3 linked regions of the Oryctolagus cuniculus genome follow. The protein of the gene in region 1 purifies or fractionates together with the protein of each later gene. This does not show direct contact. Links are inferred from orthologs where the notes say so. Each region holds a gene or a part of one and is shown on either strand. Other genes may lie near its edges.

Evidence for each region.
Region 2: the proteins of BRD8 (region 1) and MAX purify together in Homo sapiens (affinity purification with mass spectrometry; 3 studies listed by BioGRID, with this or other methods). This does not show direct contact. The link is inferred for Oryctolagus cuniculus from reciprocal best matches to the Homo sapiens genes BRD8 and MAX.
Region 3: the proteins of BRD8 (region 1) and H2AZ1 purify together in Homo sapiens (affinity purification with mass spectrometry; 4 studies listed by BioGRID and IntAct, with this or other methods). This does not show direct contact. The link is inferred for Oryctolagus cuniculus from reciprocal best matches to the Homo sapiens genes BRD8 and H2AZ1.

Annotation. Positions count from the first base shown.
Region 1 is NC_091437.1:25,969,058-25,972,557, reverse strand, and holds part of BRD8 (bromodomain-containing protein 8), read left to right. Parts: intron 1-115; coding exon of another isoform or gene 116-175; exon of another isoform or gene 176-495; intron 496-2,795; coding exon 2,796-3,074; intron 3,075-3,500. UniProt on the Homo sapiens protein: May act as a coactivator during transcriptional activation by hormone-activated nuclear receptors (NR). Isoform 2 stimulates transcriptional activation by AR/DHTR, ESR1/NR3A1, RXRA/NR2B1 and THRB/ERBA2.
Region 2 is NC_091451.1:11,144,873-11,149,085, forward strand, and holds the start of MAX (protein max), read right to left. Parts: upstream 2,801-4,213; 5' UTR 2,536-2,800; coding exon 2,500-2,535; intron 1,803-2,499; coding exon 1,776-1,802; intron 1-1,775. UniProt on the Homo sapiens protein: Transcription regulator. Forms a sequence-specific DNA-binding protein complex with MYC or MAD which recognizes the core sequence 5'-CAC[GA]TG-3'. The MYC:MAX complex is a transcriptional activator, whereas the MAD:MAX complex is a repressor.
Region 3 is NC_091439.1:65,413,196-65,417,246, reverse strand, and holds H2AZ1 (histone H2A.Z), read right to left. Parts: upstream 2,801-4,051; 5' UTR 2,383-2,800; coding exon 2,380-2,382; intron 1,961-2,379; coding exon 1,883-1,960; intron 1,585-1,882; coding exon 1,471-1,584; intron 1,167-1,470; coding exon 1,037-1,166; intron 745-1,036; coding exon 683-744; 3' UTR 309-682; downstream 1-308. UniProt on the Homo sapiens protein: Variant histone H2A which replaces conventional H2A in a subset of nucleosomes. Nucleosomes wrap and compact DNA into chromatin, limiting DNA accessibility to the cellular machineries which require DNA as a template.

The DNA.
Region 1 (3,500 bases):
TTCTTTCCCTTTTACCCCCAAGAAATCAAATCCCCAACCTTGTTGTACTTTGTTAGCGGCTAACCAGCTCACTCATTTTCACTCATGCTCCATTTCTTTTTCTGTTGTCATGTAGGATGGAGGAACCAGGGGACGCCGCTGTGCCATTGAAGCAGATATGAAGATGAAAAAGTAAAGCCTGAAAGTATCCTCTTTGAGCTGACTCTGAAATAGAAGTAAACAAGATAAAGCTTGGGCTTGCAGGCCCAGTTCCAGAAGTGGAAGTTACAGAAGAGGAGTGCCTGGGCCACATGACATAAGCTGGGAAAATCTCTCTCAGAGAGTTGAAGTAGCACAATTGTCTGTTTTAGGGCAAAAATCATGGGCTGTGTTAATGTCCTAATGTGTAGCTAACAGATTGTAGCTAGTTTGTACTGTCTGTGAAGTGTACAGATTTTTTTAAAATAAACCTGTGAAGTGTATGTGTATACAATAAATGTAAAAGAAAAAATGCTAGCCTTTGGTGTGTGCTTTTTGTGTGTATATTTGAAAATTTTGTTTCTTCCTACATTATTTGTGAAAATATTATTAGAGGATAAAGTGACTTTATAATGTGAATTGCCTACTTAATTGAGAGACGGTGAGTAAACAGGATTGAATTTATAATTACTGTTTTGAGATATTGTTCAACAATAACTTAGTTATTCAGCTTTTGAATGAGAAAACAAGTTTTTTAGAGTTGAATTCATAGCACTTTTAAAAGAAGATTCAAGCATGCTACATGGGTAGCATTAACCTTTCTTTCAGGAAAATTTGTCCTACTTCAGACTATCTGTAGATCATACCTTTTTTTTTATTTTTATTTTTTAGGGGCTTATCTGTGTCTTAAGAGCCCCTGATTTATTTTTTATTTTTTATTTTTTTATTTTTTTTTTTTGACAGGCAGAGTGAACAGTGAGAGAGAGAGACAGAGAGAAAGGTCTTCCTTTGCCATTGGTTCACCCTCCAATGGCCGCCGCGGCTGGCGCACTGCGCTGATCCGATGGCAGGAGCCAGGTGCTTCTGGTCTCCCATGGGGTGCAGGGCCCAAGCACTTGGGCCATCCTCCACTGCACTCCCTGTGGGTAGGGCTCTTGTGAATAGAATTCTTTATATTGCTGTTGGAAGGCTAATCTCAGTTTAAGAATTAACAAATTTAGGCACTGAGTTCTATTCCAATTTTTGTTAACAACAAAAACTTTAGCTCATTAGTGATAATGAACTAATTATGAGCCTTTTTATTGTATAGAGATATTAATGGGGTGTTATCTAGACTCTGCATTGTTGAGAAAGTTTTAAGAAGATCATGATAATATTTTTTGGCCTTCAAAAGGAATTACAGCAGTTGTCAGGAAGTAGGAAATAATAGTCCTATTGTGGTGATGGAAAGAAATCAACCCAACAGTTAGAAAATGAAGTACCTATAATATTCGGTTGCCAAAGCTATCCACAAACAGGCATGTGATAAAAACACTGAAGCAATAAAAATTGCAGGTTTGTGGGGAAAGTCCATTAAAGGACATAGGTATTGCTTTAGAAAAGGGATGGATGTGCTTTGCAAGATGAGTTAATAGTGTTGCACATCCATGGTAGGAGCAATGAGATAAGAGAACAGTGATCATACTAAGGAATAGTGAGATATAACACCAGTCAAGAGGATAAAGTAGGACTAATTATGGAGGACTTTTAGTGGTAGACTAAGAACATGTTTGAGATGAAAGCTGTTCTTAAGCCTTGACACTTGGCAGAGAGCAGGTTGAAGTAAAGATTGTTTAACTCTTAAGGAGCCTGACATTTCCCCAGAAACAAAGGATGATGACAGAAAATTGTGAAAAAATTGCTGACTTTAAGAATAATTTTGAGTTGCGTAGACTAAGAAAATAGTGTTGGTGATAGGGATAAAGAAATTGAGAGCAAATTAGGAAGAATATTGATTTTAGTTATAAAAATGCTGAGTTGAAGCAGATAGTAGGATTTCAAAAGAGAATTTGCTTTCAGATGCGTGGAGAAATGAGATCAGAATGTATAAAAGGTTGAGAGATTTGATAGAGTACAAAGTTGAAACAGTATGCATATATGTGTACATTGTGTGTATACACAATGACAAGAAACAGGAAATCATCTTCATAGAGGTCAAAGTTGAAACTTAAAAAATGCTTTATTTTTTAGAGGAAGTGTTAAGGAAGCTGGACTATGCAAGGAAATAGAAGACCAAAGTTTATTGAAAGTCAAAAGGGATTGGAGAAAGTTGTAAGAGAATCAGAATAGGGTAGTTAAGAAAGCAAGGGAAGGTATTTTTGAAACTTGAGGATCTCGTTTTGAGAAGTGATAGTGGATTTGACGATAAGGATGCCAAAGGTAATATCAAAGTGTATTTTCAGTATGTAATGGTAAACAGCTTAAAAAAACAAGGAAAGTATCCCGTGTTCCTTTTAAGTTTATTGCCTTGCAACTGAGTTTATGGGTGATTGGGGGATAGAGGAAGTCTGTTAAGCTAGCTATGCTCTAGCTCTTTCCCTTTTGGAGTATAAGGAAATAATAGTTATTGGGTAATACATTGTACTGCACTGTACAGTATAACATCTTTATTTTATTAAAATGGGACTTCTTTATTCCTAAAGATCATGTCATCTCCCAGCATTTTTCTTCTGCTATGTTTTATACTTCTTGATGAGACATTTCTGATATTTATCTTTCTACTGAACTTAGGAGATTGAGGTCCCTGGGAATATGAATTGGAATGATTTTAATGCTCTTTTTTTTCTGTGTATTTACAGATGGGGCATGAGTGGGTTTGGTTGGATTCTGTACAAGACTATCCCAGTGACTCTGAGTTGAGCAACTACTACAGGTCCCTCTTCAGCTCATGGGACTCCAGTCTGGATCTTGATGTGGGCAGCTGGAGGGAAACTGAGGATCCAGGGGCTGAGGAACTAGAAGAAAGCAGCCCAAGGAGAGAACCTAGTGAGCTGCTTGCAGGGGATGAAGGCAGTGAGGAATCTCAGAGAGAGGCAGAGCAAGTGAACCGCCAGAACCTCCTCCACTTTCTTTCTGAGGTAATGGTGAGCTGCTACTTCCAAAGCTGGGAGAACCTCCACTTTCTAAGAGAATGTTTACCCTCACATGTTTCTAATGCTCTTAATATTGTTTACTAAAATAGGAGACTCACATTGACAGAAATGATTTAATATTGTATCCCTGGCACTTGGTGCTGATACAGAGTATGCACCAAGTGCATTCTTTAAAAATATATTTATTTATTTATTTGAAACGCAAAATGACAGGAAGGGAGAGAGAGATCTTCCATCCACTGGTCCACTCATGTTCTCAACAGCCAGGTCTGAGCCAGGCAGAAGCCTGGAACCAGGAACTCCATTCAGGTCCGACATGGGTGACAAGAGTCCAAATACTTAGGCCACCTGCTGCTGCTTTCCTCCATATGCATTAGCAGGAAAATGGATTGGAAGTAGGGCAGCTAGAAC
Region 2 (4,213 bases), on another chromosome or scaffold:
TACCACAGGGTCAAAACTGCTTCCCTTGCCTTCTCCCCAAAATCAACGGGGGGGAAGTAGGCACCTTAACAGCAAACTGAAAACATCTGGACAAAACAATGAGAGTCGCCCTCTAGGAGAGGAACTACTCTAATAATCTAATCAACAAATTTACATGAATCCACGGGGATGAACATTTGGAAAAGCAGGAAGCTTCCAAAAACCGTGAGCCAAAATTTCATGCACAAAAGAACCTTCCTCTCACCGGGAAGCCATCGGAATGCAAATGCACAGGGCGGATTCTGCAGCGACTGACACCTGACTGACCAACCCCGGTCCAGCCCTGAGCCAGAGGTCGGCAAACAATGCTGCAGGCACACTGGGCTCCGCTGCCACATTAGTGAGGACAACAGCAACGGGAAGAGGGAATTCAATTTTCACATCCATGGGTGAATACGAGTGTGCATCATGACTTCAAAGAGAAATAAAGCACAGCAAATATTCACGACTGCTGGCCAGGAGCAAGTGCACGCTGGGAGTTCAGTGGAAACATCAGCTCTCAGGCCAGCTTTCCTAATGGTCTCTCTTGGACAACCCGTGCCACCTTGGCGTGCTCTGATGACGCACAGGGACAATGCAGAGAGCTTGCCTTTGTGGTTACTAAATTCCTACACCAGGGGTCTACCGCGGCATCCTGCAAACTCTACCAAGCCTGCACACAGCTGGTCCACACATTCTTTTGAAAATCACAAAAGTCATATACAAGTTGTGGATTTCCACTATTTCCTTCACAACAGGAAGATCTGGCAACAGCGGGTGCTCCTCCCACATACCCACCCACTGGGGCGGAGGAGCGCCTGCCTCTTTGGGAGGCCTGTGTCCCCCAGGAGCCCAGGCCCCACCTCTTCCCTCCCCTGGACTCTCAGCTCCCCACTGCCTGGGGCACCCCACAGCTCCCGGCTCCTAGCTGACGACCAGCACAGCCTCTGCCACGCTTCGCTCTTCTTGCCCGCTCCAGTGCGGATTTACTCCGCATCTCTCCTCTGCTTTCTCTGATCTAGCCACACACGCCCGCAGCACGGCTCCAAAGACAAGAGCTCCGAGTGGGAGTGCACAGGAGCACGCCCGAGCACACTGGCATCAGAACGTGGGAGCCACCGCGAGAACACCGGTGACCGCCTCCATCACCTTTCCCCAGCGCTGTCTTCAGCCGCTCTCACCATTCTCTATCCCCCTCTCCTTCAACTGGGACAGGGGCCGCCCACAAGGAGCCGCAGGTCAGGCTGGTGCCACGGCCCGCCCGCCCGCCCCGGCTGGTCTGCCGTTGGTGCTACAACACCTCGGCCTGCCAGCCCCATGACTCCCGGTTAGGGGCCATTACTGCATGTGGCTTCAGCCGGACCCAGCTATGTGGCTAGGGTTCAACACCGCCTGCTGCCTAACTCAGCCTCCCAGCTCCTTGGCCCTGGAGCGACGCCAGCCACTATCTGCCTCCAAAGGCTGTCCTCATTCCCCACTCGCACGGCAGGAGCTGCAAGCCCGTGTGGAAACTACAGGCCATTCCACGTCTTGGCTTCACTCAGCACTCAGTCACCTGAGAATCTGGAATTATGGGATTCGCAGCTCTCCCTCCCCACCCCCCGGCACCCCGGATTCAGGCCCCACCTCACCTTAGCGGGCAACAGGAGGGTTTACTACATTATTAAAAGTATTAGAACAATCTCTGGTTCTCTCTGACCCCAGAAAGGACTAGAACTGAACGGAAATGAAAACGAAATGGAGAGTAGGAGACGTACCGCAGATTGAAACCTCGGTTGCTCTTCCTGGAATAAGAGAGAAAAAAAAAATAGAAAATATAGAAGTTATTTTTACACTTCACACTCAATAATAAGAAAGAAAATGCCGGCGGCGGAGGAAGCGGCGGGTGGGGGGGGGGGAGTCAGCCCTTCACCCCTCCCTCCCCGCCCCACGCCCCCACCCTCCCCCAGCGGGATCCAGTAGCCGGGCAGGGGGTCCCGAGCGCCGCCCCTCTTTCCGGGATCCGACCCGGGCCAGAGGGGTTCCCGAGCACCGTCTCCTCCCCTCGGACCCAGCTCGGGCCGCCGGGACACTCCCAACCCCTCTCCGCTCTGCCGCACCCCCCGCACCCCCCAGGATCCGCGGGTCCCGGGAGGAGGGGATCGCCGACCCCAGGATCCGGACAATGAGATCCCGGTCGCACCCCAGCCCTGTCCCACGGAGCCTCAGCTGGCTAGGGTGGCGGCAGGAGAACGGGCCGGGGGTCCCAGAGGCCGCGTGTCCTCTCCCCCACCTCCAGCCCGGCAGCCCCGAGGGGAGCGAGCCGGGAGCGCGACCGAGGCGGTCCCGGCCGGGGAGGGGAAAGGGGGGGAGGAGGAGGAGGAGGAGGAGGAGGAGGCGGCGGCTGCGGCCCGGCCCCCTCCCGCCGTCGCCCCGCTGAGAGCCCTGGCCGCTGTCCCCGCCTGACAACCCGCACGGGAAGGAAGAAGCCCCGGGACTCACGTCGCTCTCCACCTCGATGTCATCGTTATCGCTCATTTCCTACGGCCCAGGGAGCGGCCACTGCAGCGGCGGCGGCGGGAAGGGGGAAGGGTGGAGGGGAGGGGGAAGTCACCGACAACAAGCAGCCAAGTGCCCCCACACACACACTCACTCACTCACTCACTCGCTCTCTCACTCACTCACACACACACACCCCCACACACGCACACACACACAACACGGGCGAGAACCACCTCCTCACTGCAGCACCGGATCAACGGCGGCACGCACGCCCGGTCGGCCCCCTGCCACGTGATCGGACTCGGCACGCTGGGGCAGCCGAGTCTTGTAGTTCTCGTCCTTGGGACTGACGGCCCGGCGAGAGCCCAAAGAACTACAAATCCCAGGAAGCACTGCAGCCCGTCGACGCCAGGCCGGCTTGCGGACGGAGCTCAGGGCGCCTGCGTGTCCCGCGGAGGAGGGCGGAGAGAGAGGCGGCGCGGCGCCTTCTGGGAGACGTAGTCCGCAGACCGCGAGTTGTCAGGAGGTTTTCCTCCCGAGGCGGCAGAGGAGGCTGCTGGGAAGACAGGACACGTGGAGGGAGCTGGGGCTCCGGAGCCGGGCACCGTCTGCGCTCTGGGCGCCGGGCCCGGGGGACAGGGTGGAGGCCCTGGGGGAAAAGCCGGCCGCATAAATAGCGCTGCCTCTCTTTGGTGCAATTGGTTTTACTTTGTCTCCTGGATGCTGGAGTCGCGCCGCTTTGCGCCCTGGGGCGTAACCTGCCGCGGCAGACCAGGGGGCGCAGCTCTGGCTGCCCACGCGGACCCTCGGGAACCGTGGAGGTGGTGATGGCAGGTGTGGGGTGGTGTGACGGCACGGGCACCGCGACCGCCCTCGCCGAGGGACCTCTCCTAGCCGCAGAGGCTTGCGTCCCTTTAGCGGGCAGTGTCGGTCCGCACGGCGCACGTGAGGCTCCCAGGACCACGGAGCCCACCCCCGGCAGCCGGGGTACCTGGAAGTGAAAGCGCCTTCCGGGTCCGGCGTAGCTCGGGCGGTCTGCAGAGTGCCCCGGCCCGGAGCACCGCGGCTAAAAATTGCAGACTGGAAGACTGGCGCAGCTGCCTCTCCGTTTGAAATCATTTTTACAGATCTGCTTCTCCAGTGTTCACTGGCACCTAACAGGTGCCGAAGGGGATGCCATCATGTCCCCTGCATTCATGCAACTCCCAGCTGGCAAGCAGAAGTCCACGCTGCGCGGCTGCCATTTCAGAGTGCACACAGGAAGGAAAAACAAAACAGCAACAAAGACATTTTCCGCCCTTATGTCCGATCTCCAAAATAAGCGAAATCTTGGACTTTTCCCCTGACTTCCGGCTGTCCACATGAGGAACCATTTTACCCCTGACTTTTGAAAGCAGGAATCTGGAGACGGGACACACAACCTTTGTGGCATCCATGCTGAAGACATTGGATGTAGATGTGCATGAACGCCCCTTTCCATTCTGTCCCTCTAAATAGTTCTCACTGCTGGTGAAGCCTGCACATCTTTTTTTTTTTTCCTTTTTTTTTAAGATTTATTTTTCTTTATTTGAGAGGCAGAGTTACAGAGAGGCCGCCACAAAACACCAAACACCGGAGTAAGGCAAAGGGTTTATTGGTGGGGTAAACCCCACAGACCGGAGGGAAAGGGAAAAGAATGAAAAGAGAGAGAACAAAAGACAGTGAGAAAGAGCCA
Region 3 (4,051 bases), on another chromosome or scaffold:
CTGTGCAGGTGCAAGCCCACCAAGGCGGCCGCGCGCCAGAGCAGTGCTGTCACTGCGGCACAGCCAGGGTGAACGCTCAGCTCACTTGGTCCCTGGTCCCAGGAAACCCTAACCATCTCCAGCTCCTGCAGAACTTCTGAGAAATTCATAGCACATTATGGTGTAACACTACCTTGTACCCGGTATCTGACCTTTGTCGATCTACAGGTTAACAGTTTAATTTCTACAGAAGAAATGTGCCTAGTTACTGCTGGACCACAGTCAAAACAAGTTTCCATTACAAGCAAGCAAATTTAAAACACAACTAGTTTGGGAGATGACCTTTATTGAGCTTATCCACCTAAGTGGAAATAATGTCTGTACAAAACCAAATGTTTGTTACTATAACTTCTGCATCACAATTAAAATCCAAACAGTTTTTTAAAAACAGTCAACTCAATCAAAACCCACTACTTCAGAATCAATAGCTTCTTTGAAGCCACAGTAACACTTAAATATGGTTAAGACTTGAATGCAGAAATTTGGTTGGTTGGAAAGCTAATTAAACTTCCAACTTGCTCAAATAGAATTACAAAAAGGCAAAATTGTGTTTTTCACAGAGATACAGTCCACTGGAATCACCAACACTGGACAGTTGTTAGAGTATTTAGAGTCCTGAGATAACAAGGAATCCAGGCATCCTTTAGACAGTCTTCTGTTGTCCTTTCTTCCCAATCAGAGACTTGTGGATGTGTGGAATGACACCTAGGAGAGTGACAGATAAATTCTACTTTTAATGTAAGTACTTTCAAAACCACACAGTACTTTGAAACCAAGGCATTTTACGCTTCAACGTGCAAGATCTTTCAAAAAAATGTGAAGCTCAAAATACCAAAAACCCATTGAGTTGTTTACATAAACCAAATTTCATGACCCAGCCATACTGCATCAATGAAAACATTCTCAAATGCCCTCTGCTAGACTAAAATCTAATAGGAGTTAGAAGCCAAGGGTTTCTGTCCTCCGAATAAGGAAGAAAACCAACTTTATTACATACCACCACCAGCAATTGTAGCCTTGATGAGCGAGTCCAATTCTTCATCTCCACGAATAGCAAGTTGCAAATGACGAGGGGTAATGCGCTTTACCTTTAAATCTTTTGATGCATTTCCTGCCAGTTCAAGTACCTACAAGGCAGACGCTCATCAATCGCCTTTGACCAAGGTGCAAGGGCAGAATCAAAGCTTAAGGAACAGGAATCTGCCAGGTGTTCCCCCCTATCCAGGGGACACGCAATTACTGCCAGGAGCAGCCAACTCCTCCGGCTCAGGAGGCTCCCTTCCTGGACACCGGCTCCCTCTAGCGTCCTCCCGGGCTTCTCGCCGCGTCTCGGGCCTGGAGTCTTCTTGCATCACTTTCCTCCTTCCCTCCGGCCGCCTCCCCCGCCCCCCCCCCCAGCCCTGCCTCGATGATAGGCGTCCGCTCAGTTACCTCTGCGGTGAGGTACTCCAGGATGGCAGCGCTGTACACGGCGGCAGTCGCGCCCACACGTCCGTGGCTGGTCGTCCTAGATTTCAGGTGTCGGTGAATGCGGCCCACCGGGAACTTAAGCACACACAAACAAGAAACGCATAAAGACAGGGAGCCAGGGCTGGCGGGATCGCACGCGCGCCAACGCAAGGGGCCCGGACGCTGGTGCAGCCAGGCACCCTAGCATCCACACACGTGATCGCCGCCCCCCCCAACCTTATTTATCGTGTGGGCAGCCCCCAAGTCGCGACACCGCATCCCCAACGCGAAGACGAAACGCCCATCTAGGGCGATGATAAACAAGAAAGGGGGGTGGGAGGGGGTGTGCAAAGAAAAACGCCACGGTTCGCAGACTGCACGAACAACTACTGACCTGCAAGCCGGCTCTCTGCGAGCGGGAAACCGCCTTTGTCTTGGCCTTTCCGGAGTCCTTCCCAGCCTTACCGCCAGCCTGCGGCGCGCACACGCCCGCGAGCGGAGGAGGATCGGAGAATATAGAATTACCAGGGCGGCGCGCCCCTCCCCCACCGCGGCGCGTCCCCGCGCCCCGCCGGGGTCTCCGGCCCGCCACGCGCCGCAGGGGCGACCCCGCCCGCCGGCCCCCGCCGCGCGCCCGCCGCGGCCGCGCGCCTCCGCCCGCCCGCCCGCCGGCCCCCAGAGGCGCCGCGCGCGCCACCCAACCGTCGCCGCCCGCCGCGACAGCCGAGGCTGCTCCGCTCGCAGCCGACACGCCACCTCCCCCCCGCTCGTGTAAATCCCGTCTCCGCACGTCCCCAACCGTCGCCACTTCACCCTCATCCCCGTGGGTAGCGGGTTTCTCTCCCGCCGGCAAAATCCCGCGGAGTTACCGAGCGCCCCTGCGAACTTTACCATTTCGAATTCTGCGGAAGCTCAAACAAGCAAGGCAGAGAAAGGGCTAGTCTGACACACAGCGCGATCCCACCACCTACTCCTCCGTCGCACCGCGATTCAAACTGCGCTGTCTCCCGCCTTCCCCGCTGCCTTTATACTGCAGAATGTTCCCTCATCCGGGAACTCGGATTGCTCATCCCACCAATGGCTGCCGCCCGCCCTCGGGACGCGTCCTTGAGGCCTCAGCCAATGAGAAAACGAAGAACAGGGCGGAGAGGCGGGCGCTTCCAAGCTCGAGCCGCGGTTGGCGCGTGGGGAGGAGGTGGGGGAGGGCGGAGGGATGGGAACGGGGGAGAAGAAGGGCATAGCAGCGGGAGGGAAGAAACAGAACGAGGTGCGCAGCGCGAGCGAAGAAACCAGCAGGCTCAGTCACGTGTCTGGGAGGAGGAGCTGAGAGGCTCAGGGGAGGGGCGTGGGACAGCGCCCCCCGCCGGTCCCTTAGCGGGATTGCAGAGGCCACGTGAAGTCTCCTCGGGGTCTAGCGCGGCCCCCACCCCTAACAGCACCGCCTGGGTTCTCGCCGCCCGGAATCGGCTCCCCTGCAGCCTTCTTCCGGGGCCCCGGGCACCCATTCGCCTGCCGCCCTCCCAGCCCCTGGCGGCTGCGCTCGTCTGACAGGTGGCGCGACCGGGTCGGCCAGGACTCGGCCGTTTCCTCCCTCTGAGCTGGTTCCCAGCCGCCGGCGGATCCCACTTGAATTTCAGCGGAGTCCTCTCCTCCTCTTTCCCCCACCACTTTATGAAGACACCCCCGCACACACGCACGCACACACACGAGGTGGTTCTGTGACAACAGTCGGCGGAGCCGAGTTACCTCGCTGGGCACAAAAGACCTTTTTGTTCACGCGTGGGGAGCTTGGCGTGAGCTGGTATTTCTTTAGTCAAACCGTATTTTTCTGGTGTCTACAGGTCGGTGGGTTGTACCCACAGGCCGGTGTCTAGAGTTGATTTAGTGAAATCTCAGAGCTATTATGTGTCAACTTTTCTACACTAAATATTTCGCTGCGTGACAAATGTTCGGTAAATGTCAGTGGGGTAACTAACGTGATTCACAGGCAGTTACAGATGGTCCATGTAATCAATTGCAAATGGTGGGCTTAAAAAATAGTACTGTACACACAGTGCTATAATAATGCCAGCTACTTAGTCTTCCAACTAATAGATTAATAACACCTGTGCACATCTCCAGCTGTTTGGGAATATAATGTTACATGTTCAACAACTGAACAGTTGCAACTTGAAGTATTTGAAACATACATTCTAACTTTAGGTTTCAAGGTTTCAATTTGAAAGTTTTTTGTTTTTTTTTGGGGGGGGGATCAAAGGACATTCCTGTTTCTGGGATATAAATTCTAGTCTATCTTTTCATTATTCTCCTTGGAACTGAGGAGTCCTTGTGATGTCATCAATAGCAAGAGTTCATCAGATCTCCAACTAAATTGATAAGATGGCGATAAAAAGCTGTGAAACTCAATGTAATAGTTAACCTTGTCGCCAGTGAGGCTTCACTCAGAAACCAATATTAATGCCTTCTCCGATTTAGATAATACTCTCTCTGGGATGAAGCCCAACTGAAGAGAAATCTCTGTTGCCTCTTTGGATCGTGTTTGAGAGAATGAATGGATTCGGGG